7 linked regions of the Sus scrofa genome follow. The protein of the gene in region 1 purifies or fractionates together with the protein of each later gene. This does not show direct contact. Links are inferred from orthologs where the notes say so. Each region holds a gene or a part of one and is shown in the gene's direction. Other genes may lie near its edges.

The links.
Region 2: the proteins of POP4 (region 1) and RPP40 purify together in Homo sapiens (affinity purification with mass spectrometry; 3 studies listed by BioGRID and IntAct, counting the BioPlex papers as one, with this or other methods). This does not show direct contact. The link is inferred for Sus scrofa from reciprocal best matches to the Homo sapiens genes POP4 and RPP40.
Region 3: the proteins of POP4 (region 1) and RPP25 purify together in Homo sapiens (affinity purification with mass spectrometry; 3 studies listed by BioGRID and IntAct, counting the BioPlex papers as one, with this or other methods). This does not show direct contact. The link is inferred for Sus scrofa from reciprocal best matches to the Homo sapiens genes POP4 and RPP25.
Region 4: the proteins of POP4 (region 1) and RPP14 purify together in Homo sapiens (affinity purification with mass spectrometry; 3 studies listed by BioGRID and IntAct, counting the BioPlex papers as one, with this or other methods). This does not show direct contact. The link is inferred for Sus scrofa from reciprocal best matches to the Homo sapiens genes POP4 and RPP14.
Region 5: the proteins of POP4 (region 1) and RPP38 purify together in Homo sapiens (affinity purification with mass spectrometry; 4 studies listed by BioGRID and IntAct, counting the BioPlex papers as one, with this or other methods). This does not show direct contact. The link is inferred for Sus scrofa from reciprocal best matches to the Homo sapiens genes POP4 and RPP38.
Region 6: the proteins of POP4 (region 1) and RPP30 purify together in Homo sapiens (affinity purification with mass spectrometry; 4 studies listed by BioGRID and IntAct, counting the BioPlex papers as one, with this or other methods). This does not show direct contact. The link is inferred for Sus scrofa from reciprocal best matches to the Homo sapiens genes POP4 and RPP30.
Region 7: the proteins of POP4 (region 1) and POP1 purify together in Homo sapiens (affinity purification with mass spectrometry; 5 studies listed by BioGRID and IntAct, counting the BioPlex papers as one, with this or other methods). This does not show direct contact. The link is inferred for Sus scrofa from reciprocal best matches to the Homo sapiens genes POP4 and POP1.

The regions. Positions count from the first base shown.
Region 1 is NC_010448.4:39,733,072-39,737,637, forward strand, and holds the start of POP4 (ribonuclease P protein subunit p29), read left to right. Parts: upstream 1-1,451; 5' UTR 1,452-1,692; coding exon 1,693-1,699; intron 1,700-3,927; coding exon 3,928-3,980; intron 3,981-4,566. UniProt on the Homo sapiens protein: Component of ribonuclease P, a ribonucleoprotein complex that generates mature tRNA molecules by cleaving their 5'-ends.
Region 2 is NC_010449.5:2,995,109-2,998,931, reverse strand, and holds part of RPP40 (ribonuclease P protein subunit p40), read left to right. Parts: intron 1-2,650; coding exon 2,651-2,849; intron 2,850-2,977; coding exon 2,978-3,112; intron 3,113-3,823. UniProt on the Homo sapiens protein: Component of ribonuclease P, a ribonucleoprotein complex that generates mature tRNA molecules by cleaving their 5'-ends. Also a component of the MRP ribonuclease complex, which cleaves pre-rRNA sequences.
Region 3 is NC_010449.5:58,604,511-58,608,883, forward strand, and holds the start of RPP25 (ribonuclease P protein subunit p25), read left to right. Parts: upstream 1-1,339; 5' UTR 1,340-4,256; coding exon 4,257-4,373. UniProt on the Homo sapiens protein: Component of ribonuclease P, a ribonucleoprotein complex that generates mature tRNA molecules by cleaving their 5'-ends. Also a component of the MRP ribonuclease complex, which cleaves pre-rRNA sequences.
Region 4 is NC_010455.5:40,060,630-40,065,208, forward strand, and holds the start of RPP14 (ribonuclease P protein subunit p14), read left to right. Parts: upstream 1-1,548; 5' UTR 1,549-1,817; intron 1,818-1,828; exon of another isoform or gene 1,829-2,009; intron 2,010-4,579. UniProt on the Homo sapiens protein: Component of ribonuclease P, a ribonucleoprotein complex that generates mature tRNA molecules by cleaving their 5'-ends.
Region 5 is NC_010452.4:46,723,117-46,727,543, reverse strand, and holds the start of RPP38 (ribonuclease P protein subunit p38), read left to right. Parts: upstream 1-1,581; 5' UTR 1,582-1,836; intron 1,837-3,073; 5' UTR 3,074-3,178; intron 3,179-4,427. UniProt on the Homo sapiens protein: Component of ribonuclease P, a ribonucleoprotein complex that generates mature tRNA molecules by cleaving their 5'-ends. Also a component of the MRP ribonuclease complex, which cleaves pre-rRNA sequences.
Region 6 is NC_010456.5:102,564,523-102,568,904, forward strand, and holds the start of RPP30 (ribonuclease P protein subunit p30), read left to right. Parts: upstream 1-1,279; 5' UTR 1,280-1,530; coding exon 1,531-1,612; intron 1,613-3,634; coding exon 3,635-3,690; intron 3,691-4,382. UniProt on the Homo sapiens protein: Component of ribonuclease P, a ribonucleoprotein complex that generates mature tRNA molecules by cleaving their 5'-ends. Also a component of the MRP ribonuclease complex, which cleaves pre-rRNA sequences.
Region 7 is NC_010446.5:38,624,954-38,628,776, reverse strand, and holds part of POP1 (ribonucleases P/MRP protein subunit POP1), read left to right. Parts: intron 1-537; coding exon 538-782; intron 783-1,307; coding exon 1,308-1,401; intron 1,402-3,823. UniProt on the Homo sapiens protein: Component of ribonuclease P, a ribonucleoprotein complex that generates mature tRNA molecules by cleaving their 5'-ends. Also a component of the MRP ribonuclease complex, which cleaves pre-rRNA sequences.

The DNA.
Region 1 (4,566 bases):
CTACAGCTCCGATTCGACCCCTAGCCTCGGAACCTCCATATGCTGCGGGTGCGTCTCTAAAAAAACAAAAAGAATAAAAAATAAATTAAAAAAATAAAATATACATTTGGTAGTTTACATAGTATGGAACCCCAAGAGCAATTTCTCAAATTTAATCCCGTGGGCTCCTAAGTATTCTCAGACATCTGAAAATATGACATATTTTAGTTTTAATGCTCTGTTTCCATTTTGATAGTAATATACATAGAAGGTAAATGCTCAGTTCCAGGGCCTGTAGTCTTATGTTTAAGATCAAAATGACACAAGGTCACCACCCAAAGAAACTTAAATATTTCTCAAACTCAGGTGTGTGGACATACTCCCAGGATTCCCTGGGAAATTTTTTTTTTTTTCCTTTAAAAGGAGTTTATACTGTACTGAAAGTTGAGAACCACTGGCTTAGAATACATGGACCATATTGCTTTTATTTTTCATTATTTTTTTTCTTTTTGGCCATGCCAGTGGAATGCGTGGAATTTCCTGGGCCAGGGATCAAACTAGTGCCACAGCAGTATCCAGAGCCACAGCAGTGACAGTGGCCAAATCCTTAACCCACTGAGCCACCACAGAACCTCTCTGTATTGCTTTTCTCTCCAGAGCAGGGCCCTACCCAGGCCCAGCTCTCAGCAAAACTTAAGGTAGCTTCTAAGAGGCCTCCACCCAGGCCTTCTTGACACACTTCTTGAACCCAACCCCGGGGCAATGGGAATCAACTCCTTGCCTTCTAACTTTTTTTGTTCAACCTAAGGCCGGACCCGCGGCATAAGGAAGTTGTTCCAGGGCAAGGATTGAATCCCAGGCGCTCAGACCTGAGCCGTAGCCGTAGCAACAAAGGATCCTTTAACCCACTGCCCGGGGTGCCCGGGGGAATCTAACCGCTGGTCACTCTAGTCGGATTCTTAACCCATTGTCCAACGGCAGGAACTCCTCCTTGCCTTTCATCTTATTGACGGAAACTAATATGCCGAGCCTCTAGAAAACTCTGAGACCATCAAGTCCAACCCCACTAAGCAGAACGGGGAAAAGTGAGGCCCAGAGATGGGAAGTGCCTTAAGCGAGGTTGCACACCTAGCTAACAGCAGACAGAATAAGAACCTAAGCCTTCTATCCTTCAGTGCCTCAGATGGTCTGTAGAGAGCACTCACCAGGGACCGCAGAGACTCATTTCCTCCATCACCACCCCCCGCCCCGCCCCAACCCGTTTCCACCCACCCCGGGGGCCCAACCTCCCTCGAGTCCTCTCCAAGTCGACCCGCCTCTCTCTACTCCAGGCTTTCATAAGCATGTCACACCCCAACTCCAACCCTACTGCCTCTGGCCTTCCCTCGCCTAGAAAACACACGAACTGAAAAGAGCCCCACGGCGCTTTGTGCGGCGGAGTCCGCCCCAAGGCGCATGCGCCAACCTAGGTCGGCGCGCGTCGGTGACGTCACAGGGGCGCCAACCTCGAGTTTGGGGCAGCGACTCCAGCTAAAAGTAGGAGCGTGTTGGTATCAATGTAGCATACCGCGCGACTTCAGACACAGGAAACCTCTCCGCCACAAACTTTGGCGAGAGGCTTGGTAGTCGAGGCTGCTGAAGAAAGTAGAGGGAGGTAAAGAGGGAGCGACGCTGAAGGAGACGTCAGAAAAGCGCACCGGAAGCGGTCCGAGAATGAAGAGTAAGCCAGGTTGAGGGCCACGACTTTGGAGAGGGGTGGAGTGAGGTGTAAAGAGTCGGAGACTAGATGTGGGTGCTGGTGGAACTGTTGTGGGAATTATCCCTCCTTAACATAAATAAAACTAAGGCACGGGAGTCCCAGTGTGCCTGGCTCAGTCTCTGAGCTAGGGATTGATGGCAGAGCTGGAAGCAGGTTAATCTCGGGGGCGCTGCCAGTCGTGTGTGGTGCTAGAGGAGGGCCCAAGGCCCTGGCCGAACTTGGCCAGTACCTCCCTGGGTGGCCTGGTCAAGGCCCTGCTCCTCTCTGCAACCCTGTTTACCTTTGTGTAAGGTACTGATGAAGGTGCCTGCCCAGCCTGATGTTATGTGAGGGACTCTTCCCTAGTGTAAAGCTCAGGGAGCGTGCTGGGGAACGATATCACTAAACCAAAGCTTTGGGAGTTGAGCAGAGAAGAGGTGTGCCAAGGAGAGGAGCAAGCACCCAGGACAGTTATAGGCAGGGGAGTGACACCTTTAAAACTGGATTTTGAGGGCCACCTCTCTCACTTCCTATGTATGTGATCCAGTGTCTCAGCGTATCTGAACTTCAGTTTTCTTAGTATAGAATAGGAATAATAGCTCCTTTAAAGGATTGTTCAGAAAGTGTAATGAGATAAAATGTATGTAGCTTTAAATCAGGGGCATGGCAAGTAATGAGGGGTCACTAACTGTTAGATATCTATTGTTACAGAAAGGAAAAAAAAAAAAAAGACTTCCACGTCTAATGCTAGGAACCTATGACAAGCACAAAGTCATTCCGGGGGTTCCAGGCCCTGCAGATAGGTTTTAATCCCTATCTTCCATTGGAGGGAGAACCAGACTGTGTATATAAAACTTGTAACCCCTTTGGCTTGCTTGGTCCAATGTACCTGAGAAGCACAAAGAGAGCTGGGGCAGAATTTACAGAGTCTAGTATGAACCAGACTTTCTAATCTTTTGGCCCTTAAACCAGGTCTTTGTCTCATTTTTATTCCGTTCACACCCATATTCTGTCCTCAGTGTGTGGTTTTCTTCTTCAGACAAATTAAGAACCAGGAGGGAGTTCCCACCTTGGCTCAGTGGTTAACGAATCTGACTAGGAACCATGAGGTTTCAGGTTCCATCCCTGGCTTTGCTCAGTGGGTTAAGGATCCAGCGTTGCCATGAGCTGTGGTGTAGGTTGCAGACGCGGCTCGGATCCTGCATTGCTGTGGCTGTGGTGTAGGCCAGTGGCTGCAGCTCCGATTCGATCCCTAGCCTGGGAACCTCCATATGCCACGGAAGCAGCCCCAAAAATGGCAAAAAGACAAAAAAAAAAAAAATAAATAAGAAACAGGAGCGTAAGAGTTTTTAAAGATTGAAACCACACTGAGCAATATATATTTTGAGCTTGAAGATCTGTATTTTATCAGGTTAGGACACCATCAGTTGTATGATGCATCTCAATTTCATAGATATTAAAATGTGACAAGTCTTTTTTAAATATCTAAATGTTAACAAAATGTAGTTCCGACCTCCTTCATCCTGGAAATCCCTGTCTCATAACTTTTAAATGGGTTACATCTTTAGACTTCTAGAGCTCGGGCTCCTAACCTGTGGAATTTTAAACCAGTGCAACTCCAAATATGGTCTGCTGAGCTGCAGTAGCATCTGAGAACTTGTTAGAAATGCAGGATCTGAAAGTGGCACCCAAGACTCTTCATTGTAATAAGATCCCAGAGATTTTTTTTTTTTTTTTTTTCCCTTTTTAAGGCTGCACCTGCGGCATATGGATGTTCCTAGGCTAGGGGCGGAATTGGAGCTGTAGTTGCTGGCCTGCACCACAGCCACAGCAACGCCAGATCCACACCTCATCCGTGACCTAGACCATAGGTCCTTAACCCACTGAGCGAGGCCAGGGATCAAACCCACATCCTCATGGATTCTAGTCGGGCTTGTTACACACTGAGCCACAACGGGAACTTCCAAGATCACAGAGGTTCTTAACGTTTGAGAAGCACTATTTTAAAGCACACCTTTGGAACTTCTGGGATGGATGGACAGTAGGACAGGAGGCGTCCAGGAAAGTTTTGAAGCTATGCTCTTTGTACCATTGGTATCTTCTCTCCATGAATAAGCATGGTTATTTTCATGATTAGAAAAGGCTTGGGTCTTATAAGCCATAGTGATCGGAATTGTTTGTTTCATGTTTGTTTGTTTTAAATCCCCCAGGTGTGATCTACAATGCCTTTTCTCAGAAAGAGGCGAAAGAGTTCGATGTTCAGGTACAGTGCTTGGCAGGAGGTCTGGGAGCAACAGAGGTGATGGCAGACATGGCTCCGTGGCTTCTCCACCCGTAGGGCTGTTTTAGCCATCCTTTCCCACGTTTTACTCCTCACGTTTCCAGCAGACATGTTAGGCTTAATCGGGGTCTGTTGTTCCCCTGGGTCTCCCTTTCCATGCTACCAGAGTCAAGTTGGGTTAACTGGAACTCAGGATCAGTGTCGTCTCCCACTGTGTAGGGGACACCGGGCTGCGCTCACCTGGAAGCTGCTGTGGCAGGCACTGTCTTTTGACCTTGTTACTGTGCTCCCTTCACTCCTGAAGAGGCCAGGCAGGTCACATTTCCTAATTGTCATTTATGGATTATATCTGGGTACTACAAACAGAAGTTTCACTGGTGACTCAGAATGAGGGAGTTTTTTGTTTTTTTGTTTTTGTTTTTGTTTTTCCTTCTTTGCTTTTTAGGGTCACATCCATGGCATATGGAGGTTCCCAGGCTGGGGGTCCAGTTGGAGCTACAGCTGCCGGCCTAACCCACAGCCACAGCAATGCAGGATCCGAGCCGAGTCTGTGACCTATAGCACAGCT
Region 2 (3,823 bases), on another chromosome or scaffold:
TTAACGAAAGGTGCCGTTCCCGAGAGCTGCGTCCAGGGCCATCTAGGCGTGCATCCGTCTGCCTCCATCTCCTCGGCTTCTGTGTCGACCCAGAGCTCGGAGGCTCAGAGCAGCTCGCCATTTTCCGTTTCTCTCCTTTCTTCCTCCAGTTTCCCTCCAACAGCCTCGGCTGGAGAGTTTTAAAATAACACCAATTTGGAGTTCCATCGTGGCTCAGTGGAAACGAATCTGACTAGCATCCATGAGGACGCAGGTTCAATCCCTGGCCTTACTCAGTGGGGTTGCCGTGAGCTATGGTGTAGGCTGGCAGCTGTAGCTCCGATTTGACCCCTAGCCTGGGAACCTCCATATGCTGCAGGTGTGGCCCTAAAAAGACAAAAAAAAATAAATAAAGTAAGATAAAATAACACCAATTACAGTGATATACGCAAACTGCTAATTCCTTTTTGCAGGGTAGTAATCAGGCGCAGCATTCAATGTCAGATTAAATTTGTTGTCACTTTTAACTGATTGGAACAATACATGTAGTTCAGAGTTTGATGTTCACGAGATAATTTAATCCGCCCGCATCTTTAGGGCGTTCCCACTGTGGTTCAGCAGTAACGAAGCCGACTAGTATCCATGAGTCAACTAGTATCCATGAGGCAGTGGGGTCAATCCCTGGCCTTGCTCAGGGGGTCAAGGTCCAGTGTTGCCATGAGCTGGGGTGTAGGTCGCAGACACAGCTCGGATCCACATTGCTGTGGCTGTGGTGTAGGCCGGCAGCTGTGGCTCCGACTTGACCCCTAGCCCGGGAACCTCCATATGCCGAGGCAGCAGCCCGAAAAAGCAAAAAAAAAAGTATATATTTGTTCCAAACCAAGATTACAATGAACCAGATCTTGGCGGTGCGCTGGGGGAAGACGGGAGCCCATCGCTCCATCCTGGAGAGAGGCCCTCTGACGGCACCTCCAGGGAATCTGTACTCAGTGGGAGCCGCAGGGCCTCCAAACTGTGGTGCTGCTCCTGGTGTGGTGCAGACAGAGGGCAGAGGGCTGACCTCTCGGTGGCCGGAAGCCTTCATGAGGGACGGCCTCCTTTACACCGGGTTCTGGAGAGCTCTGCGTTCCTCAGGCTCCTGTGTATTTTAAGGGCTTGTCAGGACCTGTGGAAGAGCTGAGATTTCACCCTCTTTGCAGGCTCTGAAGTTAGGCCGTATGATCTCGTGGGTGCTGAGCCCTAGGACAGAGCAGTGGTGGCCAGAGCTTCTGCGTCTGCCCCAACCCCCAGGTCCTGCTTCCTGCAGGGACTGCGTGGTGGGCAGGTGATGCCGGCTCAGGCGGTAGGATGCGTTATAAGAGGGGAACCTGGAGGCTCAGGAGGTCAGGTCTCTGATCCAGGACAGTGAGCCTGCTGACCTCTGCCCTGTGGGGAGGGAGAGCGGGTTTCTAACACGCTGCACAGTAAGGAAGCCTGCTCTCTGCTCCGGGGCGCTGCTCCTTCCTCTTCCAGTCCTTCAGGACACACTTTATCCTATTTGTTTATTTATGAGTTTTGGCCGTGCCCACAACATGCAGACGTTCCTGTGCTAGGGATCCAGTCCACACCACGGCAGTGCCAATGGTGGATCCTTAACCTTGAGGCCACCGGGGAGCTCTCCTCCTGGGTTTTCTTTTTCTCCCTTTTTCTTTTTTTGTCTTTTTAGGGCCACACCTGTGGCATATTTAAGTTCCCAGGCTAGGGGCCATATAGGAGCTGCAGTTGCCGGCCTACACCACAGCCACAGCACACCAGATCCGAGCCGAATCTGCCACCTACACCACAGCTCACGGCAGTGCCGGATCCTTCATCTGCTGAGCGAGGCCAGGGATCGAACCCGTGTCCTCATGGATCCTAGTCCAGTTGTTACTGCTGAGCCACGGTGGAAACTCCCTCCTCCTGGGTTTTATTTTTTATTTTATTTTATTTTTTTTTTATTTTTTTTGCTATTTCTTGGGCCGCTCCCGTGGCATATGGAGGTTCCCAGGCTAGGGGTCTAATCAGAGCTGTAGCCACCGGCCTACGCCAGAGCCACAGCAACGCAGGATCCGAGCCGCGTCTGCGACCTACACCACAGCTCACGGCAACGCCGGATCGTTAACCCACTGAGCAAGGGCAGGGATCGAACCCGCAACCTCATGGTTCCTAGTCGGATTCGTTAACCACTGTGCCACGACGGGAACTCCCTCCTCCTGGGTTTTAAAGACGAGTTGGACTGAGACTCTGTTACTGGGTTCCTCTCTCTTTCCTTTTGCATAGAGTGTGAAAATGTGCTCCTTTCTCTATGGAGTTCACTAATTTTATTGAAACCTAAGTCATGCTTTGGGTTTTTTTTTACTAAGTGAAAAGTTTCTTAGTAAACAAGCATGTGTGATGAGACTGGTATGCGTTGACTCTGAAAGGGTTATGATTTTCCAGGAAAAGTGTGACAGAAGGTGGGTGTTTACCGAGCTTTGACACAAGGAGCTGAAAGGAACCGAAATGGTTCTAATTTGAACAAGGCTTCGCACCACCTGCTTCGGTCGTACTGCATCCTACCTGCTTCCGGAAGCCCCCCGGTGGGAGGGGTGGACTCAGGGATTCTCCAAGCTCGTTTACACGATTCAAGTGGCCTTATTTGGTGTGTTTGAAGGTGCAGAAGAATCAACGCTGATGTCGTACTTTTCCAGTTACCGAATTCAGGAGCATCGGCCAAAAATAGCAGTGAGCTCGGTGGCAGATCTGCAGTGCCCGGTGCTGCGGAGCAGCGAGCTGGGGGGCCAGCCGGACACGGCCTGCAGCGCCCTGGAGCTCTTTGACTGGCTGGGCGCCGTCTTCAGCCACGCGGAGCTGTGGGTACCAGGGCCCCTGGGTCTTGGAGGGCTTGGGCTGGCTTCTTGTTTGTAATAGGGGTGTAGTGCTTTCAGGTGTGTGGTGGTGGATCTCAGCATCTTTTCTTTGGTTCTTTCTTTGGTTACAGAAATAACGAGCCTGACAGTTTCCTATCAAGCTATTGCTGTCCTCAGCCAAGCACAGTGGTGGCCAGAGCTTCCTTGTGCACCGTCACCGGGTTCATCCTTCCAGAGAAGATATGCCTCCTGTTGGAACAGCTGTGGTGAGAAGGCCCTTTGCCTTTCAGGTCCTGCGCCTACCCGTTGTTTCCGGGATGCTCTCACACACGCGTCCCCTCTGCTCTTGCCTGGGCTCAGGCGCAGTAATATTATCCTTTTTTTTTTTTCTTTCTTTCTTTTTTGTCTGCGCTGCGGCCTATGGAAGTTCCCGGGCCAGGGATCAGAGCTGAGCCACAGGTGTGACCTACCCTGAAGCTGCAGCAGCTCCAGATCCTTTAACCCACACTGCTGGGCCAGGGGTCCGGCCTGCGTCCTGGTGCTGCGGAGATGCCACGACCCTGTTGCTCCGCGGTGGGAACGCCAGTCTGATCACCTTAAACGAGGTGGAACCCTTGGTGAAATTGCTGGCTGTCCCTCCTTGTGCAGAGACGAAGAGTAGGTGGGGGAGGGATAAGTTGGGGGGCTGGGACTAAGAGAAACACGCTACCATATGTAAAATAGAGAGACAGGAGTTCCCTGGCAGCTCAGTGGGTTAAGGATGTGGTGTCGCTGCTGTGGCTCGAGTTTGATCCCTGGCCCCTGGAACTTCTGTATGCCGTGCATGTGGCCCAGTAAACAAATAGAGAAACAACAAGGACCTACCTTATAGCATAGGAACTGTATGCAATAACCTGTAATAAGCTAGACTGCAGAGGAATCTGAATAAGGATACGTATATATTAAAGAATCCTGGAGTTCCTGTCATGGCTCAGTGG
Region 3 (4,373 bases), on another chromosome or scaffold:
CGATCCCTGACCTCAATCAGTGGGTTAAGGATTCAGCATTGCCGTGAGCTGTGGTATGGGTTGCAGATGCAGCTCAGATCCTGCGTTGCTGTGGCTGTGGTGTAGGCCGGCAGCTGTAGCTCCAATTCAACCCCTAGCCTGGGAACTTCCATATGCTGTGGGCGCAGCCCTAAAATGACAGAAGAAAAAAAATTAAAAATAGAATTACCGTATGATCCAGCAATTCTACCCTGGGTATTTTCTTTCTTTCTTTTTTTTTTTTTTTTTTTTTTGTCTTTTTGCCTTTTTCTTGAGCCGCTCCCACGGCATATGGAGGTTCCCAGGCTAGGGGTCTAATCGGAGCTGTAGCCACCGGCCTATGCCAGAGCCATAGCAACGAGGGATCCGAGCCATGTCTGCGACCTACACCACAGCTCACGGCAACGCTGGATCCTTAACCCACTGAGCAAGGCCAGGGATCGAACCCGCAACCTCATGGGTCCTGGTCGGATTCGTTAACCGCTGCACTGCGACGGGAACTCCCATACCCTGGGTATTTTCTAAAGAAAATGAAAGCATTAATTCTAAAAGACATATGCCTCCCTATGTTCACTGCAGAATTATTTATAATAGCTAAAACATGACAGCAACCTAAGTGTCCATTGACATATAAAAGAATAAAGAAGATGTGGTGTGTGTGTATGTATAATATTCTATTGTGTGTTATGTATGTATACATACATGATGTTAAGTGAAATAAAGATAAATAATGTATGATCTCACTTATATGTGGAATCTAAAAACAACAACAGAACTTAACTTGTAGATACAGAGAAGAGATTGGTGGTTGCCAGAGAGGGAGGTTGAGGGGGAGGGAAAAAAAGAAAAAAAAAAGAACAGAACAGACTCTGGAGCCAGACAGACTCTGGATCTGGCTCTACCTGACTTACGAAATGGGTAGTGGTTTCATTGTTGTATGAAATGAGTTAGTACAGGTGAGCGCATAGTACAGGGTCTGGCACAAAGCACCAGGTTGCGGGTTCGATTTCTGCCCTGCCCCTCCCCCCCACGCAATGGATAAAAGGATCCAGCGTTGTTGCTGCAGCACTGGAGAAGGTCGCAATTGCCACTAGGACCTGATCCCTGGTCCCAGGGAACTCCATATGCCGAGGGGAGGCCAAAATAGAAAAAAAAAAAAAAATGCCCAAATCACAGAGGTGAAAAGAAGTTAATGAACCTCAGGCGCAAGGTCAGGACCTCACTTAACAAAGGCTATTTCAAAACTCTGGGCTTAATTTTATATTCATACTTAGTAGTTCTTTCCTTAGAGAGGCCAACAAAATGCAGCTTCAGAGGTAACAGATGAAGTGTGCTGTTTTCTTGCAGTTATTTTAAAAATACATTTACATCTATAAACGTGCACACAGAAATAGATTCCTCACTCCCTAGCTTAAAAAATACTTGTCCTACTGTGTGGATAGCTGGTACCCAGTTCATTCAACAGAAAGTCTTGACTGTTTTTCCATGTTTCTAACTGTCGCAGAGTGTGCACCACAGATGCTCAAATTTATTTATCCACCTTCCCAGAGCTGAGCCCTCTACTCCCTTCCCAGCCGACCCCAGAGTATCCTGCCGTCGCCTCGCTCCTCGTCTCGGTTTTCTCGCTCATAGCGCCCCCTTTCTCTGCTATCCTTGCTACGGCTCCTTCGCCTTCTTTCCTAACAGCCCTGGGCAAACCTCGCCTCTCCCGGCCCCCGCACGTCACCGTCCAGCATTTTGTCCCCTCTCCCGCCCTAGCTTCTGGCCTGCCAGCGTCGCTCCACTCATTCGCTGCCCCCCCACTCGAATCTTTCCGCTCCCCTGCCCGCGATCTCCTCCCCCTCTTCGCTCCGCACCCGGTCCTGCCACTCCGCGGCCCCACAGGAGCGCACAGCCGGCGGGCTGCAACGCACGCTGTCAGAGTAATGAATGGCTTCAGCGGTAATTAGCGACCCGGCGGCTAATCACGATGTACATTTACATTTTAAGTGCTGCAGAGGGAGCTGGGAAAAGGAGGGGAGCGGCGGGAGGGGGCGCGGGCCTTTTTCCCCGGTCTCCCTTCACTGACTGCGGAACGAAGTGAATCGAGTCTTCTACAGCTGGCGCCAGTGGAGGGGGACCGCGGGGCGGCGCTTTCTAGCGCCAGCTCAGAGCAAAGGCAAACGCAGAACGGTCTTATCCTCACCCGACGTAAACTCCTGGCCCCTGCCTCCGAATCGTAGACCCCTGCGTGATCCCTTCAAAGTGAACGTTCAGCCTTGGCTCGCATACTCCCGTGGGTGGAGAGCTCGCTTCTGCGCTTATCAGCCCGTTCGAACATAGATTCCAGCCATTTTGGGACTTTTTCTCAGGCCTAACGAAACTGATGCTCTTTAAGTCCCACAACTGCCCTAGTCTTACAGGGCCTGAGGTTCCCTGCGCCCTGCCACGCGCTGCAGACTGTTGTGTCTTCTTCAGACTACTGTGTCTCCGACTCCTAGGGCTGTTCCTAGAGGGGCCTCTGGGAGCTGGGGCGGGGTGGAAGTACAGGTTTGGAGCAGAACGCGACCTCGAGGGCCCCTGATCCCAGAGGGCGAGCAATAGATCCGAGAAGGGCGTTGGTCATTCGTACGGTGGGGCTCAAAGGTTCGCCTCCTGCAGTCACTCCCACGGCGCGGTAATGGGTCATCCCTGGGTTTCAAACAACAGGGCAGATCTAGGAGATACAGGATGCTGAGGATGCAAAAATGGCAGCGAGGAGAGGGTGGGGGACCCGGCAGCTCCATCTCAAAACCGACCCGGCTCCCCCAAGCATTGTCATGCTCCCAGCACTTTAAGGGTTTCCCACCGGCCACAACTCTGTGCTCCTCCTTGCCACGCCCCACGTAGTCACCCTGGCCCAGATCTGGTCTGGCCCACTCTTCAGTTCTGTGCGTGGGCAAGGGGGTGGAAGGATGAAGAAGGAGACCCTAGGGCAGATCGAGGGAGGGTCCAATTTCTTCTCAAACTCCCTCCCTCCCATCAGCAGCGCTTCAATCCCAACCTCGCTTCTCCCTTCGCTGTTCATCTCTCCTGGCAGGAGATCCCCGGCCACTCCCTCTGTTCTGCAGAGGTCCTGGGAAGGGACACCCTGTAGCTTCATAGTGCCCCGAGGTTTCAACTTCCCACCTACTTCCCTTTTCCCTCAAAACATACTTTCACCCAGTCTCCTTTTTGTAAAGGAAGCCAGGCTGACTAATAACGAATTCCACCTGGGAAGAAGGGGGTGGGGTGCTGGAGGGGATCCACGTTAGCAAAGAAAAATACCTGGCTTACCCTAAAGCATGCAGCTTTAATACTCGACTTTCAGGCATGAATGGAGGCAGCTTAACTCTCCCTTGAGAAGAGGTCTCCTTGGTCTCTTCTCATTCACCTCAGGGAACAGTCTAGCTCACGGTCTCAGTCCCCACACCACAGGGGGTGGGGGTGGAAGGGGTCCAGGATGCTTCAGCTTCAGTCAGGCGCGGCGAAGCTGAAACCTGTCTTAGGACCACACCGCGACGTAATCATCCGAAGGCAGGCGCGGAGCGAAGCCGGAGCCAGCCCCTCTCGCACTCTGCTGACCGTGCACAGGCTGTCCTTGAGGCGAGAATACCCGCTCCAGAGCGGAGGGACACAGCGGGGGTGGGGGGGTTGGGGGGAAGTGGAAGAAAGAAGCCTCAGCCCCCAGCAGGCCGCTTCGAAATCTCTCCTTGTAGGGGACAAGGGGCTGCCTTCAGTTCTGAAACGCAGAAGGACTCAGGGACCCGTTCTAAGGCGGCGTTTACCTCAAACGCAGTTTTTATTTAGATTGCCCGTTTATGAAGGTTGTCTCAGAGAGAGCTGATGGCGATTATAGGGAAACTTCGCCTAACAAGTCACTCCCTGGCTTTGCCACTGCGCTCCATCGTGCGTGCCGCTCCCACGCGCCTATAGCTGAGGACCGGACTGGATCCGGGAGGCGGGTGAGGCTGGGACAAGAGCCCGCAGGGCTGTTGGGGGCGGGGCCTGTCGGTGGGGGCGGGGCTCCCAGGCTCCCAGGCGGGGCCTTAGCTAAAGGCGCGGAGCACAGGGCGCCGAGAGCGCAGAGTAGAGCAGCGCCCAGTGGAGAGGAGTGGGAGACGAGGATTGTACGGTCCCCGCCCGCCCACTAGCATCCACGCCGCTTCCGCACCCTTACCCCTGCTGGCCCTTGCCGGACGCGACCGGCCGCCATGCAGCCCTGGGGCTGAAGCGGCCCCATGGCGAAGCCACCGTCCCCGCGGTCCCGGCAACTACGGCGCATGGAGAACTTCCGTAAGGTGCGCTCCGAGGAGGCGCCGGTGGGGAACGGGGAGGAGGGAGGCGGCCCTGGCTCG
Region 4 (4,579 bases), on another chromosome or scaffold:
AGCAAGAACTCCAGAAATTCTCAGATTTTAGAGGGCTGTTATGGTATGTATACCATAGGTTGTATAACCCCCCGCCCCCACCCCTGTGGGGCCTGGGGCTGCTTTACATGAGCAAATGTATCCATATTTCTGATGTATACAATGTGCATATCCACAGCAAATGGGACAGAAGCTACAAAATGTTTCACCTAGGTTCAGATTAAGCATTGCACCTAATGAAGAAAGATTTAGTCTTCAGATTTTTCTTCGATTTTAGAATTGCAGATAAGGGACAGTGAGTCTGCATTTTCTTTTTTTTTTTTTTTTTTTTGTCTTTTTGTCTTTTGTTGTTGTTGTTGTTGCTATTTCTTGGGCCGCTCCTGCGGCATATGGAGGTTCCCAGGCTAGGGGTTGAATCGGAGCTGTAGCCACCGGCCTACGCCAGAGCCACAGCAAGGCGGGATCCGAGCCGTGTCTGCAACCTACACCACAGCTCACGGCAACGCCGGATCCTTAACCCACTGAGCAAGGGCAGGGACCGAACCCGCAACCTCATCGTTCCTAGTAGGATTCGTTAACCACTGCGCCACGACGGGAACTCCTGAGTCTGCATTTTCTACCTCCTCTCTCCAACCTTGGCAGATGGGGGTGGGAGGTGACATCTTAAGGAAGTCTATTCTTCCATGTGAAAGGAGAGGCATGCAGAAGGGTATGGTCCAAGACTCCCTCTTGGGAGCCTAAATTTTACTTACTATCAGTATTATAAAAATGATGCCCTATCACTTTAAAAGAAATCAAACAAAAACGAATGCTGAAACAATGTGAGGATCTCTTACACCCTCCACACAGCCCAATCCTTCCTCCATCAGTCCCCTTGGGACCCATCTAGACATTATACTTATGTGTCTATGTATGTATGTGCATACCTAGACACAGACACATGTCTAACTGGAGGAGGCTGTTACCACCGAACCTAAGTTCGACTGCTTGCCGCTTGAAAGGCTAATAGTGCCTGGCATACGTAAGCATTTGATTAATATTAGCTATTAATACTACTATTATTATTAATCCACACTGTATGGGGTTTTGTTTATTTCATGAATACAAGTGCCCTATCTTTTGTTTCCAACATCTAGCACATAATACGGGCTCAGTAAGTACTTATTTAATAAACGAATAAATGAAACTATTGTCTTAGATTTGGAAATAGGGCTATCTGGGACTTTTCATGTCAATCCAGACAGAAAAACTATGTGCTATGAGCCAAAAGAGACACTGAGAACGGGTCTTGCCCTTGGGGAATACTTTACATAGGAGATGCTCAGCAGAAGAAATGCTAGATACAATTTTTCTGAACGAATGAATACCTGAGTAAATGAATGACTAAGAAAAAAGCTCTCAGTCTGAATACGCCCTCAGTCACACACGGCTTGCCGCACCAGAGGCTGAGTGGGCACGAGAGGGCGCTAAGCCTGGCGAGCTTCAGATCCCGAGTCACGCCCGGGTCCTTCGGGAAAACGCCGCGCTGTGACGTCATATCCGCCCGAGCCGTCACGCATCCGGGGTCGGGGCAGACAGAAGCCAAACGTAAAGACCCCGGAGTTTTCTAGTTCGTGCTTAGGCTCCAGCCTTTGCCGAGAGGTTCCAAGCCTTGAGGGATTCTTGCAGTGAATAGGAGTCAGGCTAATCTCTCGGAGAGCAGGTAGACGGAAGTACGTAGTAGCGTGGCTGTTTTCCGGCAGTGGACTTAGTTGGCCGCGCTAGTGACGCGTGGATGCGCGCGCCAGGAAGGCACGCGCAAGGCGGGAGCGACGGCAGGCAGCGCGGAGACGCCTGAGGTACCTATACAGCTCAGGTCGCTCAGCGCCCCAGGCCGAAGGCGAGGCGGTGCTGAGAATCTCCTTGGGCTTTTGTACAACGTGGTCTTTTTTGCAGAGGGCGGCGGGAGGACTGAACGGGACCACATGTGCAGGGGGCATGCACTCGGCCCCAGGTGGGCGCCCAGTCGACGCCGACGGTCATCGAAAAAAGTTAGCCTGCTTTACTTATTGTTTAAAACAGTTCAGGTGTCGAGTTCCACTGTTGTGGCAGCGTGGAAACGAATCCGACTAGTAACCATTATGTTGCTGGTTCGGTCCCTGGCCTCGCTCAGTGAGTGGGTTAAGGATACTGCGTTCCTGTGGCTGTGGTGTAAGGCTGGCAGCCCTAGCTTCCATTCGATCCCTAACCTGGAACCTCCATATGCTTTAGGTGCAACTCTAAAAAGCAAAATAAAACAAAACACCAGCCTAAGTGGCTGATAGCTTAACAATTTAATCTCCAAACAGTAGAGGACCGAGCTTTTTAAAATTTTTATATCGTTTATGTCCTGTAATTACATACTGAGTGCCTACTGTATGTGATGCACTGTTTTAGCCTCCTGGGAAACAGCAGAAAACAAGGGAAAGATGCCTGTTTCTCTTTGGATTGTACATTCTGGTAAGGCCGGGGTGGGAGGGGGGAGGAGCAGGGCGGAGTGCAGACGAGAATTAAAGAATTTCAGAGTTTCCTGGTGGCTCAGCGGGTTAAGGATCTGGTGTTGTCACTGCTATGGGGTGGTTCGACCCCAGAACTAACCCCTCGCCGCCAACGCACCCCACCCCTCCAAAAAATAAGTGGATTTCATAGTTATGTTCTGTATACCTACAGAGTGGTGTATGCTCTGAGGAAAAAATAGAGCAGTGGCGTGGGGGGGTGACATTAGATAGAAATGCCACTGGAACACATTGAGGGGTGAAATTGAGTAAAGCTATGGAGGAGGCAAGGGAATGAACCATGTGGCTGTCTGGAGGAAGAGTATTTTCAGCGAATGGAAAAGCTGGGAGGGAAAGAGCTAGGAGGCCTGTGTGGTAGAAGAGACTGAGCAGAGGAGAGTGGTAGGACAGGAGGTCAGAGGGATGGGAGGAAGCAATGGTACAGATCAGGTTGGACCTTAGATGTAAAGACTTTGGCTTTACTCAAGGCTTCAAGCCTTGAGGAAAGGGGCTTATTAAGGTTTTAATAGGGTCACCCGGTTAGATTAGGGAGGGAAGCAGGGACATCTACTGCTAATAGATAAGGTAATGAGCATCCTTGCAGCCATCAAAAAGGCCGGCTTCAGAGATGATGATAATGACAGCCACTTAGAAGTGTTCACATTTTCCCAGTGAGCCTGGTGAATGAATATACTGGGCTGTAGGGAGGGCTTCCCAGGCATCATCTCCTTTAGTTTCAGGACAACCTGCAGAGGGCGGTGCTGTCACTCTGAGACCCAGGCCTGTCAGAGGTGACTGCTCAATAAACACTTGCTCCTACAGTTTTTTTTTTAATATAAAATAAACATAATGAAAAATTTACTATTTCTAAATATACACTTCATTGGCAAGAAGTATAGTCACATAGTTGTACAACTATAACCACTATCCATTTCCAGAATACTCCTTAAGTCTTCTTTGTTATTGGCATCCTAAGCCCCAGGCCCAATCTCACTCTACCTCAGGCAGCCACCTCCACTAAGGCAATCAGTAATGTTTAATAAACACCTATTGTGTGCCAGGCAATGAATGAAATGATTGAGGATACTGTCCTCCCTGCCCTTCCAGTCAGGGGAGATTGTAGTGATTGAGAAGGGAGCACCGTGAACTACTGCAGTCCTGAAACAAGAGTTCCCACTGTGGCAAAGTAGGTCAAGGATCCAGCATTGCTGTAGCTGCATCTCAGATTTGATCCCTGGCCCAGGAACTACATGTGCTGTGGGCGCGATGGAAAAAGAAAAGAGAAATGAGACACCCTTGAATGCTACCACCATTTAATCAGTCATGTATTCAATAAGTGTTTGTTGAATACTCTGTGCCAGACTCAGGAAATACTCATATTTGTTGAATAGGTGGTTGGATGTAGTGGCTTTGACCTTGACTTCTCATTTTCTCTTGAGGTTGTCTTCTGGGAGTGGTTGGAACTGGGACCGGAGAGGTTTTTGTGAATGCTGGTCTACAGCTATGTGACCTTGGAAAAGTTCCTTTCCTTGGATAGGCTTCAATTTCCTGTCCCTTTAGTTGGGGGAACCACATATTAAACAAAGACAATGTTAAGAGATGACATACCAAGGGAGCCTAACTTACAGCAAGGTGTCAGAGAAGGGCTCTCCGAAGAAGTGATGTTCCTAGAAGAGGTGAACTTTAAGCTGGAATTTGAAGGATGAGTAGGAGCTATCCAGAGTGGAGTGAGGTGGGTGAGGAACCCAGGATAGGGGTTCTCTTCAGGGGGAACAGCATGTACTGAGCTCTTCCAAGTTCCAGATCTATTGGGAATGGCTTGAGTGCCCATTCCAGGAATTCCTTTAAGACCTTTGCTGTTTAATCTGTCTTCACAAGGCTGACAGATAGCCCTATGCAGGCCTGGCCTCTGGACTGAGAGAATAGGCAGATCCAGCATGGGGGCAGGGCAGCAGAAATCTACCCTTCATTCTGTTCATGTTCTGTGTTGACTGAGTGTAAACAGGAAGAGGACTCAGATTTTACTCCTTTATGCCTTTTTTTTTTTTTCCCTTTAAGAGCTGTCATACTAGAGTGGTCTCGGGGCT
Region 5 (4,427 bases), on another chromosome or scaffold:
ATCTGAGATGTTAGGGGGACAAAACCTCATACATAATTCCTTCCCTTTAGCATTTTAATCAGACGTGCATTTCTATTTGTCTTACATCTTAAAAGCTAAATTTGACACTATTTTTAATTTTATTTTTTAGATATTAAAATATTAGATTATTTTAAAAATGTCATGCCTATTTCATTTTTAAAAACCTTTTTAAAAACCTTCCACTCTGATTCAATGATTTCTCATCTTTTTATCCAATTTCTGAGAGCTTTAAAAACTTGTATTTGGTGGCATCACTTAGAATGTGATTTACACTCAACATTACTTCATCTTTGAAATGATACTTTTATCATTCTTGAATCACTGTGGCTTCATTGAAGGTTTGAGAGACACTCTGTAGGACTAAGTCATTACCCTGTAATTTGACAGTAGATGAAGTATCACCTTTTCATTACTTTGAAAAAAAAATGACCTTGCAATTGATTCTTACATTTAACATTTAAATATCAGTTCTGCCACCATTAAATTTAACTGCATTGACCACATAAGAAGCCAGAAAAATCACTGGGTCACAGGTTAATCTAATTCAATTTAAAGCCAACAAAGGATAACTATAATTAGTAATTTACCAATTCAAGGGCCAGAGTTGTTACATTCAAAACTGGTTGATTTGGGAGTAATTAGCCTTAAATTTTAAAACATTATTCTGGTTGCAGAAGCTCTTTCAGGAGCTTATTAATATTTTTAACAGACTGGATGATTCATGAAGTCTAAGCTATTACCTAACACAGCCAAAACTGTTGCACTTACTGTCTGAGTCTGTAAATTGATCTTATTTTACTTGACCTGCCTTAGGGTATAGGCTCACAGCCTTTTTTTTATCAGTGGTAGTATACATGCTAGTTAGTCCCCAACAAAGATTTTGAGTATTACATTAAAAAATAAAAACAAAACAAAAAAAAACACAAGATACAAACTTCTTGCCTTCCAAAGCCCAACACCTCCATCTCGTTTCTGATGAATAAGGAGACTGGCAGGGTACAAACAGAGCAGAGCCGAATTAGGACAGTCAGTGACATTTCAAGAAAAGAATTCTGCTGGACCATGAGGACTTGCTGCCCCAAACTGAGACTAATTTAGAACTGCCTGTTTGCAGTGCATCAGCATTATTTGTTACTATTCATTTTATGAAACAAAAGTTGTTACAAATTCGTTGTAAATTCATTCTTTTAAATCTGATTGTAATAAAAATTTAAAAATCACAGGCGTTTCACTCCTGGCGCAGCAGTTAACTGCCGGACTTGTGACGGCACCTCCCCATCCCCTATTTATCTTGATTTCCACGTTGCTAGGGATTCGGCAGGGACTCAGTGACAGAGGCACTGCGTCAGGGTTTTGCGACCCTCAGGTAAGTTAAAAACTAAAGCGAGAAGAGCTCAGATCCCCAGGCGCAGAAAGGAGGACACTGGAAGAGTGTTGCGTTACAAAGTAGAAAACCATCCTCTCGGAGTCTAATGGCGAAGGGACTGGCGCTCACATCCAGCCGCACACCCCGCAAGCGGCCGGTTACCAGGCAACCAGAGCTCTCGCGAGACACACCCTGCACCTGCGCACTGCCTCTGGATGGCCTTTTCCGGATCCTCACCCCAGCTCAAGGCAGTTTCTAGAGATCGAACCTTTCCCTTTTTCTAGCCTTTTTGAGAAATGGCGTTTGGGACTAGCCCGGCGCAGAAGGAAGAAGAGTGAGGTCCCCCGAGTGGTCCACATCACCCCAGCGCGTCGAAAGGCGGGGCCGGAGAAGGCGCAGGTTCTGCGCGCGCGCAGAGCGGCCCACGTGGAGCTGGCGCAGAGGCCACCGTGAGTGGGGCTCGGGCGGGGGTCTGACGTTCCGAGCGGCCGCCAGGGGAGGGATCCGTCCTGGGGCTTTGCCGGGTGCGCGCCGTCTCCCCCGCTCCCCGACTCTGAGGGCGCACGCACCCGGGACCACAGTGTTTTCCGGTGTCCTGGCTTTGGCCGCTAGTCTGCTCTCCGCCGGGAGCTGAGCACTGTTGGGTACGAGAAATAACGCCCACCCTGGTCCCTCTGTACTACTCAGTCTGGAAGTGGAGGCGGACAAGAAAATAATTCTAGTCTCGTGTGCTAAACCGTAAAGTCGGTAGGCACTAGAGAGGCAGCAGACATTAGGAGGGATCAACACTGGGAATTGGCCCTGTCATCCCCTCGGCTGCCGGACCCCGAAACTCGAGACCCCTCTCTTGAGTTCTTTCTCTGTTTTACTCCCAGTTGATCGCTAAGTCGGGCGGATTGCACCCCTTCTGTTCATCCCTCTGCGGCGTCTCTAGTGCCGCAGTCATTTCTTTACGGTTTGGTCCTTGGCAAAGGCCTCCTCCTGGTCCAAGTTCACACAGCTCTTTCCCTGAGGCCTTTCTAACTACATCGCTCATCTTGCTTTGAACGTTCCCACTGCCGCTTCCCGCTGCAAGGTTTGCAAGTCTTCCTCACCATCTCACCCGCTCTAGCATCTCTGCTCCGGCGATATTGACATTCTTTCTTTTAACGCAATTTCCTGGGATACCCTTTCTGATAGCCCTTTGGTAGGTATTCTTCAGATGCAGGTTAAAGGGACACTTCCTCCAGGAGGCCTTTCCTGACCTTCTCAACAGAGTCAGATCTCTGCTCTACATCTCGTAGTTTCCGTACCTTGATTTGCATCGCATGTTATTTTATTACTCGCTGATAAATCTTCCTCATAGGTTCTGAGCCCAGTGGATCCAGTGGCTGTTTTGCTTTCATTTGTAATCTTTCTGGCTTGCTGGCATTGTGGGAAATGCGCAGATACTTGCTCTAGTAAGAAATATGGTGTTGTTGGGGCTGATGGTAGGAGTAGTTTTCCAGGCAGAGGGAATATGTATAAAGCCCTGGAGGGAGGAACTGGTCATCTCTTGAAACAATATGTGGGGCATGAGGAGAAAGATGATGGGGGGATGCGCCAGAGTGTGGACTGACTTGGCTGTCACCTTAATGAGTTCACACTTGATGCTACAGGCCTGAGGCCTCCATTTTCTTTCAAATCCTGTTACTTCTTCCACTTTAGTTTTGGATTCTGTTCCATGAGACTCATCTGAACGGAACCCCTTGGTCCTTGTCTCCCTGTCTAGATTCTGAAGCCAGGAGGAGCTGATGCACAGAGCACGTACCTGTAAGTATTTCCTCCGTGTTGTCTGGATGCTGAGGCACGTGAACTGTGGTTTGCAGTCTGGCAGGACCTCTGTCAGATCATTGTATTCGTTCCTGAGTCATTTATTTCCCTCCTCTGACCACCTTCGGGTTGGCACTGGCCTCTGCCAATCCCGTCATGGGGCGTGACTGCACTGGAGGGGAGTGTGGGGATGATGGGTGGGGAGGGCTGCGCCCTGGGGCAGGGTGGAGGAAGCAGCTTCAGAGGCCCAAACCGCCTTTCTAGCCGTGGGCACCACTGATACCAACACCAAGGTCTGGGCTCTCTCCCCTAGGGAGCTGAATTTTGATTTTCTGTGAGAAGGTGACGTAGAAGGAACACCAAGGCCAGCAGAGGTCAGGGGACCATTTCTCAGGCTGCCCGGTGTGGAAAGGCCCCCGTCCTACACCGGCGTTCTCAAGCCCCATTCTCTATCAGATTCCCGGCAGCCTTTTTTCCAAGTACAGGTGCCGTGCCATGTCCTCAGGGATTCCGATTCAGTAGACCTTGAGAGGACCAGCCGTCCACATGTTTTACCAAAAAGTCACAGATTAGGGAGTTCCTGTTGTGGTTCAGCGGATTAAGAACTATGACTATTATCCATGAGGATGAGGGTTTGATCCCTGGCCTCCCTCAGTGGGTTAAGGATCCGGGGTTGCTGTGGGCTGTGGTGCAGGCTGGCAGCTGCAGCTCTGATTCACCCCCTAGCCTGGGCACTTTCATATGCTGTAGGTGCGGCCCTAAAAAGACAAAGAAAAAGTCACAGATTATTTCTGAGGTGCAGCCAGGATTGAGAGAGCATTAAAATTGGATTTGGGAAAACCAGGTGTGACTCGGGCAAGGTACTTACTTAACCTGAGCCCTTCTCCTCCTCCACACGCTAGGCAGTTAAACTGGTGCTTTGTGAGCATCTGATAATTCACAGAGAAATTGTTCACACATTCTGACTACCCCACGGAAATACCTGCCCTTCAGCAACAGCATCAGTGACTGGGCTTCTGGGTGGAAGTTTACTTGGAGGGGACTTAACTGCTAATCCTGCAGGGGGCGCTCTGCGGAGGGCGGGTGTCCATGGGATGAAAAGATCTACAATGAGGGCGTATCTGGAATGAGAAAATCTGGTTACCTGAGAACAGGGACGAACAGGGACACCACCCAGCTCCAGACTTCTCCAGAGCTGGCTAGTTGAACTTCCTTCAGTTTTGCAACATGGGTCCCTGTGGTTCCCAGC
Region 6 (4,382 bases), on another chromosome or scaffold:
CCTCCCTTCTAAGCCCAGGGTGAAGATAAGAAGTTTAAAGGGTATACAGTCCACAGAAACAGCGTCATGACTTTCAAAGAAAGAAGCCCTCTGTAGTCTAATTCTGGTATCAAATAATGAGTCATCTTATTCACCTTCACCACACATCGGACATATTTCCAAACAATTTAGGTTTTGTGGCTGCAGATGAAGACGCCTATAAAATTAACACTAGATCTTCCTGCAAAATTAACACGAGATTTTCAGATGAGAAGCCAGAGTTTGTTTTATATGACTTTCTTCTATTTGCAGAAGTAAAATTTTCTTCTGTTCTTACTTAGAAAACATCAAATATTAGATAGCAGAAGATTTCTTTTTTATTGAACTTAACCAAAAGGAGAATTACATACTACCACATGGAACAGATCCCTCTTAAAATTCCCTTCTGAGACCAAGAAAGAAGTCATGTAAAGAACAAATCAAGATGTGGCCCACAAACCCGAGACTCTGTGTACTGTCTGTGACAAGTTAGCAAAGAAACGGAAAATGTTTACAAACTTTCACATCCCTTTGGCATAGTCTGGAGATCCAAGCCCCTGATTTGTGGACTCTTATTCAGTCTAGTATAGAGCAGTTCAGATGTTAGATTAATCTTTTGAGGCCAGAGCTGCCTGTGGGTAAAGGACAATGGATCACTACTGGTGCTAGAAGAACTGGTGGAGGGAGGGGGGTTGGGAACTCGGTGAACTGACCCAGTAATCACGGGTACTTTGTAAAGCAGTGATGTAAACTCTAGTTCCAGAGTTTTATGTTCTCGGATAATTAATTTATCACTCTTCAAGAGTTCATGTGTACGAAAATGTGGAACCATCACAACTGTGGGATATATTCCACCTTGTACATCTGTCAGACGGAAAACTGTAAAACATTTCAATTGTGCACCTCCCTTGTCTAACCCATTTTTGGCTAAACACGTGCTGAAGCTAACCGCTTATCCCTGCCAACTCCAGGTTGAGAATACTGGCTGTAATGGAGTTTAGCATGCTGTGCCACCGTCTGTTCTGATTGAGCAAAATGACTTTTTTCTCGAGCAAACCTTTTTCGAGTTGTCAGGTCAGTTTCCCCATCTCCCCATTAAGTCCAATTTAAACAATGGAATGACCTTTAGGGGCGGGAAAGAAAAACGGATTTAAAACCCTTACTTTTTAAGGGTTTCCAGACCTTCTTTCCCTGTAAGTCCTCAATAAATGCTGTATACGTACATTTTGAAAGAATCATTTTCTACATTATTTCACAGGAGGAATGGTGGGCTATGTGAACCCCTTCGAGGGAAACAAAACTTTCCCATCCAGAGGAAGAAGAACTGAAGTGAGGCTGCTGACTTCCACACACTAACTTCTGCTGGGATCCGAAGGCGCTCAAAGAGCCTGGGAACGTCAGTCCGCGGGAGGGACGGGAGGACTGCTTAGGAAAACTGCAATTCCCAGCGTGCCCCGAGGGGGCGGGCCCTGCGGCTGCGCAGACAGCCGCGCAAGTTCACGTGATTTCAGCATGGCGGTGTTCGTGGATTTGGACCTGCGAGCGGGTTCCGACCTCAAGGCGCTGCGTGGGCTCGTGGAGAACGCCGCTTACCGTGAGTCGCCGCGGCTTCGCGAGCAGCGGTGCCTGCCCAGCCTCGCTGCCATCCAGATCGTCGGGCCACGTTCGGAAGGGACGCGGCCGGGCCTCATTCAGGTCTTCTGGGGTCTGGAGGCAGTCTCTGGAAGCTGATGCCTTCTGCGGGGTTGCTGTGATCCCGGGCCCGGGAAACTCGAAAAGCGCTGGGGAACTGTTACCCAGTCCAGCTCCTTCTTTATTGTGAATTGGGGAACTGAGGTCCTAACAGGGCCAGGGACTTATATAGGGCCTCACAGCTGAAGGCTGGCCAAAGCTAGTCTCCACCTGTGCTTTTAATATCGCCCCTTCCTACCTCTCACCACTGTGTACTGACTCAGTCAAATGCGGAAAGCTGGTTGGTGCACAGATGGGGAGTGCTTTGGGTGCTCCGAAAATGGGCGGGGGTGGTGGGACGTGGGGCTGCGAGTGTTGGAATAATGTTATTTAGAGGGAGGGTAGGTTGAGGCGTAGGACACACCAAGAGGTTGGGAAGGGACCAGCATGGCCAGAATGCTAGAATGTTACTCGTATTTGAATCCAAGGAAAGCAGAAGCCCTGAGAGGTAAGATCGTTCTAATCGAAGTTAATCGCGACTTCTGCCTTCTTCCTTAGACTTAAAGTGTCTAAGTGGAGATAGAGGGGTTTAAAAATAAAGACATTTCTTCGAAGTTCCCGGTTGTGGTTCAGCGGTAACAACCTAACTCGTATCCATGAAGATGTGGGTTCTACCCCTGGCTTCTGTCAGCGGGTTAAGGATCCGTCGTTGGGGTGAGCGTCGGTGTACAGATGCGGCTTGAAGTCCGTGTTGCTGTGGCTGTGGTGTAGGCTGGCAGCTATAGCTCTGATTCGACCCCTAGCCTGCGAACTTCCATATGCCACAGGTACGGCCCTAAAAAGCAAAAAAAAAAAAAAAGAGAGAGAGAGAGAGATATCTGCAGGGCCTATCAAGTAATGGATCCTCATTTGAAGGAGGAAAGAAAGAAGGAAATTGGAAAAACTATTGAGAGGGAAGACCACTATCTTGGCATTAATATATGTTATTTATTTATTTAGTCCTTTTAGGGCCGTACCCTTAGGGTATGGAAGTTCCCTGGTTAGGGGTTGAAGCTGCAGCTGCCCACCTATGCCACAGCAACATGGAATCCTGGTGGAGGCTTGAACCTACACCACAGCTCGTGGCAACACTGGATTCTTAATCCACTAAATGAGGCTAGGGATCAGACCTGCAGCTTTTTGGATACTAGTCAGGTTCATTACTGCTGAGCCACAACAGGAACTCCGATATGCATTATTTCTTTAATATTAATATCCTGTCCTCCCCATTGGTGTTTAACTCAACGTTTTAAGTCATGATTTAGATGTATTTTTGGTAGTCCATATGTCCAAAAACAGTGCTGTGTTGAGGCTGATAAACTAGGCTCTGACTTCAGAGAGTTCCCAATCTCTTGTTGGTGGGCAACTCAAAAGGGGATGGGGACAGTGGCATGTAAGGGAGTCCTTATTCCATTTCTCCTTAGCACAGGGGCCTCTGAAAAAGCAGAAGGGGTAAAGAGCAAACAAAATGAGTAAGAATGAAGATAACAGTGAAAAAATATAATTTGATGGGATGAAAATGAAAAAAGGCCTGAAAGAGAATGATGGTTGAAAGGAGATGCACAAAGTTAAGGGTCTTCTGTGTCTTGCTAATAATACATCACCCAGGTCAAACAAAACCCTAACTCTGTGCCAGCCACCATTTTTAAACATGCTATGTGTGTTATCTCATTTAGTTCTCATGACAGTTATATGGGGTAAATTCTGTTATTAACACCATATGATAGATGAAGAAGCTGAAACTTAAAGTAACTTAAGATTTGAAAACTGGCAGTCTGACTCCAGAGCCTGTCCCATAACCATTCTTCTAACTATCTTCTAGTCTTGATATGAATTGGGATGAGCCTATGTGTACAGGGAAGAGAGGTTATTGTATTTAATAAGAATGTTCAATTTTTCTTTTCAGTGGGCTATTCAGTTGTTGCCATCAATCATGTTGTTGAATTTAAGGAAAAGAAACAGGTAAAATACAATTTCTGAAGTTAATAATAACTAGCATTTATAATTATTTGTGTGTATATTTGTAATATAGAAGCTGCAGATGAGCATATTTGTTAAGTTCACTCTTTGTACACTGTCTTTTTTTATTTTTTGTTTATTTTTTTATTTTACCCTTTTTTTTTTTTTTTTTTTAGGGCAGCACCGACGGCGTATGGAAGTTCTCAGGCTAGGGGATGGATCAGAGCTGAAGCTGCCAGCCTATACCACAACCATAGCAACGCCAGGTCCAAGCTGCGTCTGCCACCTTTGCTGCAGCTCATGGCAGTGCCGGATCCTTAACTCGCTGAGCAGGGCCAAGGATCAAACCCACGTCCTCATGGATATTAGTTGACGCACAACAGGAACTCCTTTTTTTTTTTTTTTTTTTTTTTTTTTTTTTTTTGTTAAGTTCTGCATCTGCGGCATATGGAAGTTCCCAGGCCAGGGATTGAGTCTGAGCCATAGCTGCAACCTGCACCGCAGATATGGCAAGGCATGATGCATCAACCCTCTGCACTGGCCTGGGGATTGAACACATACCTCTGCAGCGACCTAAGCTGCTGCAGTCAGAATCTTAACTCACTGTGCCACAACAGGAACTTCTGCACTGTCTTATATGTTAACAGTTGAGCTGATGAATATTTGTGCAAATGATAAGGTTTTTAGTGAAGTGC
Region 7 (3,823 bases), on another chromosome or scaffold:
TAACCTTTATTAAGCCCTAATAGAAGTAGTGATGAAAACCAGTCGTATTATGCAAAGGGCTTGGAATGCATTGAGACTAATGCTTCCACCAGCCTGACTGGGTTCATTGCTATTCAGGTGCTTGTTAGAGCCTATTTGATGATGAGAAGCTGGTTTGAGTAATTCTCATGACTTGCTAATACTGCATTTGGCTTCCCTTTTTTTTTTTTTTTTTTTTTTTTTTTTAGTGTAGTCACTGCTTTTATACAATAGACTGTAAATTTTCTCCAGTTTCCTCTTTAAACTAGTTTTAGAATAATTAGTCATGTTGTTTTCATTAATCTTTGACATTTACGTTCTTTTTTGGTTCCAAGTGCCAAGCACTACTCAGAGGAATCAAAAAAAACTTTTTGATCTTGCTAAATTTAGTTTAATTTGTGCTGAATTAAAATGTAAATTGTTGAAGGTAGAAAAAAATAGCAAAAATGAAACCAACTTGAATCGGTAATATATTTAAATTCCAGAGTGTAAAAGCAAAATGTTTAAATCTATCTTTAGGATATCTTAGAGGAAATAAAAGCCGCGTGCCAGTGTATGGAACCCACCAAGTCAGCTGTCTGCATCCCCGATTCCCTTCTGACACCGTCCCAAGAAAAAGGCCAAACGGAGAAAATTGGTAGGAAGAGAAAATGGGAAGATGATGGAGAAAATGCTGAACCAATTAAGAAAATCATTGGTGATGGAACTAGAGACCCACTTCAACCATATTCTTGGCTGTCTCCAACCACAGGCATTATGATCAGGTATGGGCTGAATTTGCTCAGAACTAGGTTCTGAGTATTTTCAGTGAAGGTGTACTCTTTTTTTTTTTAAATTTTATTGAAGTATAGTTGATTTACAATGTTGTATTAATTTCTGCTATACAACAGAGTGGATTGGTGTGTGTGTGTATATATATGTATATATATACATATATATATATACTTTTTCATATTGTTTTCCATTACAGTTTGCCATAAGGATTTTGAAAAGAGTTCCTTGAGCTATACAGTAGGGCCTTGTTTGTCCACACTATATATAATAGCTTAGCTCTGCTAATCCCGAACTCCCAATCCTTCCCTTCCCAGAGTGCTCTATTTTTGCTGGTGAAACAGACATTATATATGATGGAAGTTTCTTTCTTTTTTTTTTGGCCATACCCATAGCACATGGAAGTTCCCAAGCAAGGGATGGAACCTGTGCCACAGCAGTGACGCCAGATCCTTAACTCACTGAACTGCCAAGGGGCTCCTGGAAGTTTCTGTCTTAAGACTTTCTCTTTCTTTCAGTGATTTCACAATGGAGATGAACAGATTCCGGCTGATTGGTCCACTTTCCCATGCCATCCTAACTGAGGCATTAAAAGCTGCTTCTGTCCACACCGTAAGAGTAAATGTGATTGTGATGTTTTATTTGAGTTGGGTCCTTCTTGGCAAATTTGTGAAACCTAATGTAATTTGGTAACATTTTGGGTTATGCCTTATAAATGTTTGTTTCCCTACTTGTACTTATTATCAAAGACTTTTTTTTTTTTTTTTTTTTGTCTTTTTGCCTTTTCTAGGGCCGCTCCCGTGGCATATGGAGGTTCCCAGGCTAGGGGTCCAATTAGAGCTGTAGCCACTGGCCTACGCCAGAGCCACAGCAACGTGGGATCCGAGCCGCATCTTCGACCTACACCACAGCTCATGGCAACGCCGGATCCCTAATCCACTGAGCAAGGCCAGGGGTCAAACCTGCAACCTCATGGTTCCTAGTTGGATTCGTTAACCACTGAGCCATGATGGGAATTCCAAAGACTTTTATCTTTCACTTCTCCTAGAAGAGAAAATCTAAGTGAATATATTAAACTGACTTGTTCTTTTTTTTTGTCTTTTTAGGGCCACACCTGTGGCATATGGAGGTTCCCAGGCTAGGGGTCCAGTTGGAGCTATAGCTGCTGGGCTATACCACAGCCACAGCAACTCGGGATCTGAGCCGTGTCTTCCACCTACACCACAGCTCATGGCAACGCCGGATCCTTATCCCACTGATCGAGGCCAGGTATTGAACCTACGTCCTCATGGATGCTGGTCAGATTCTTTCCCCTGAACGATGACGGAAACTCCTGACTTGTTCTTATTTAAATACAGACTACTCCTGCAGCTTCTGAGTCTTATAGAAGGGTCTTAACGTCTCCTCCATAGGTGGGTAACAGGGAACCCCTAAAATCCCTGAAAGTTTATGCCAGTTTTTTGTTTGTTTGTACTTGTGTGATGCATATTTTCTGGTGCAGGTTTTAAGAGTGATCTCTAAAGGTGGGAGCAATGTGTTAAGTACATCTCTGTCCAGTAGAACTTTCTGCAAGAGTGCCATTCAGTAGGGGAGCCACCAGCCACATGTAGCCACTGAGTGGCTAGTATGACTGAGGAGGTGAATGTGAACCTTTATGAAATTTTAATTAACTAATAGTTAAATTTGAATAGCTCTCTGCGGCTAGTGGCTGCCTTGTTGGCAGTGCAGGTCTGGAGAGCAGACACTAGATTAGGAATTGGACACTCTGGGGTTCAGATCTGGCTTGTTTTCCTGTATTAGTGCAATTAACCTCTCAGTGCCTGTGCCTCTCACAGATTGGACATGTCGAATGTGGTGAGAGATCTGAACAGAATTCAAGCTTTTAGAAAACGTCCTTTAAGAAACAAAGGCCACTTCTCCCTCCTCCGTTGTTTCTACGCTGGTCTCAACCAGTGTCGACTCTTTCCTTCTTTGTTCACCCCTTTCACTCCATTCTCATTATTTATTTATTTATTTTTGCCTTTTTGCCTTTTCTAGGGCCGTTTCCCTCGGCATATAGAGGTTCCCAGGATAGGGGTCTGATCTGAGCTGTAGCCGCTGGCCTACACCAGAGCCACAGCAACTCCAGGTCCTAGCAACGAATGCAACCTACCCCACAGCTCATGGCAACGCTGGATCCTTAACCCATTGAGCAAGGCCAGGGATCCAACCCGCAGCCTCGTGGTTCCTAGTTGGATTCGTTAGCCACTGCACCACAACGGGAACTCCCATTCTCATTATTTTTGAGATCAAGTCCAGAGCCCTTAATTTGACTGGTAATCTTGTGCCTCTGTGCCTGTCTGGTCTTATCTGTTCTCACCTTCTGCCCTTGAGCCACACTGGCCTTCTTTCAGGTTCTAGGCTGTGTCAGCTCTTGTCTTCCTTAGAGCCTGTCTGAATATTCCCACCTAACCACACTGTTGGTTAAGCCTTCCTCATTCTTTAAGTTTCGGTGTCTATATCATTTTCCTCTAGTATCCTTTCCTGACCACCCCCTACCCCAGTTAAATTACATGCGTCCTCTTGTTTGCATATTTATGTGCTGTTCGTGTCCCATTAGACTCTGAGCTTTGTGATGGCAAAGACGGGGTGTCTCTTCTTTAACCTGCTCCCCCAGGCTTAGCACAGTGCCTGGTGCAGAGTAGGTGCCCCTCTCTAGTGAATACATTGCAGAGGGAGGGTTTGAATCCTGCAAGTTCAGTTCCAGGGCCTGTACGTTGAACCACTAAGCCGTGCCACCTGAGTTTCTGCGTGGTAACTAGTGCATGTATTACAGGTTGCGTCTTTAGACTCTGTAGGAGCTCATCCTACTTCAGTGACCTTGGGTGTGAATGAATCACAGCTGCCATGCTCTCTTCCTGGGTGTGCCTATGACACTTGAAGTGTTGCCTTAAACCTTCCTCAGTTCTTAGTCCTGTTCAGAAAAGATGCGAGTGAAATAATTGTGTATCTTATTTGAAATTCCTAGAAATACTGTAGTTGTAATATGTCCTTT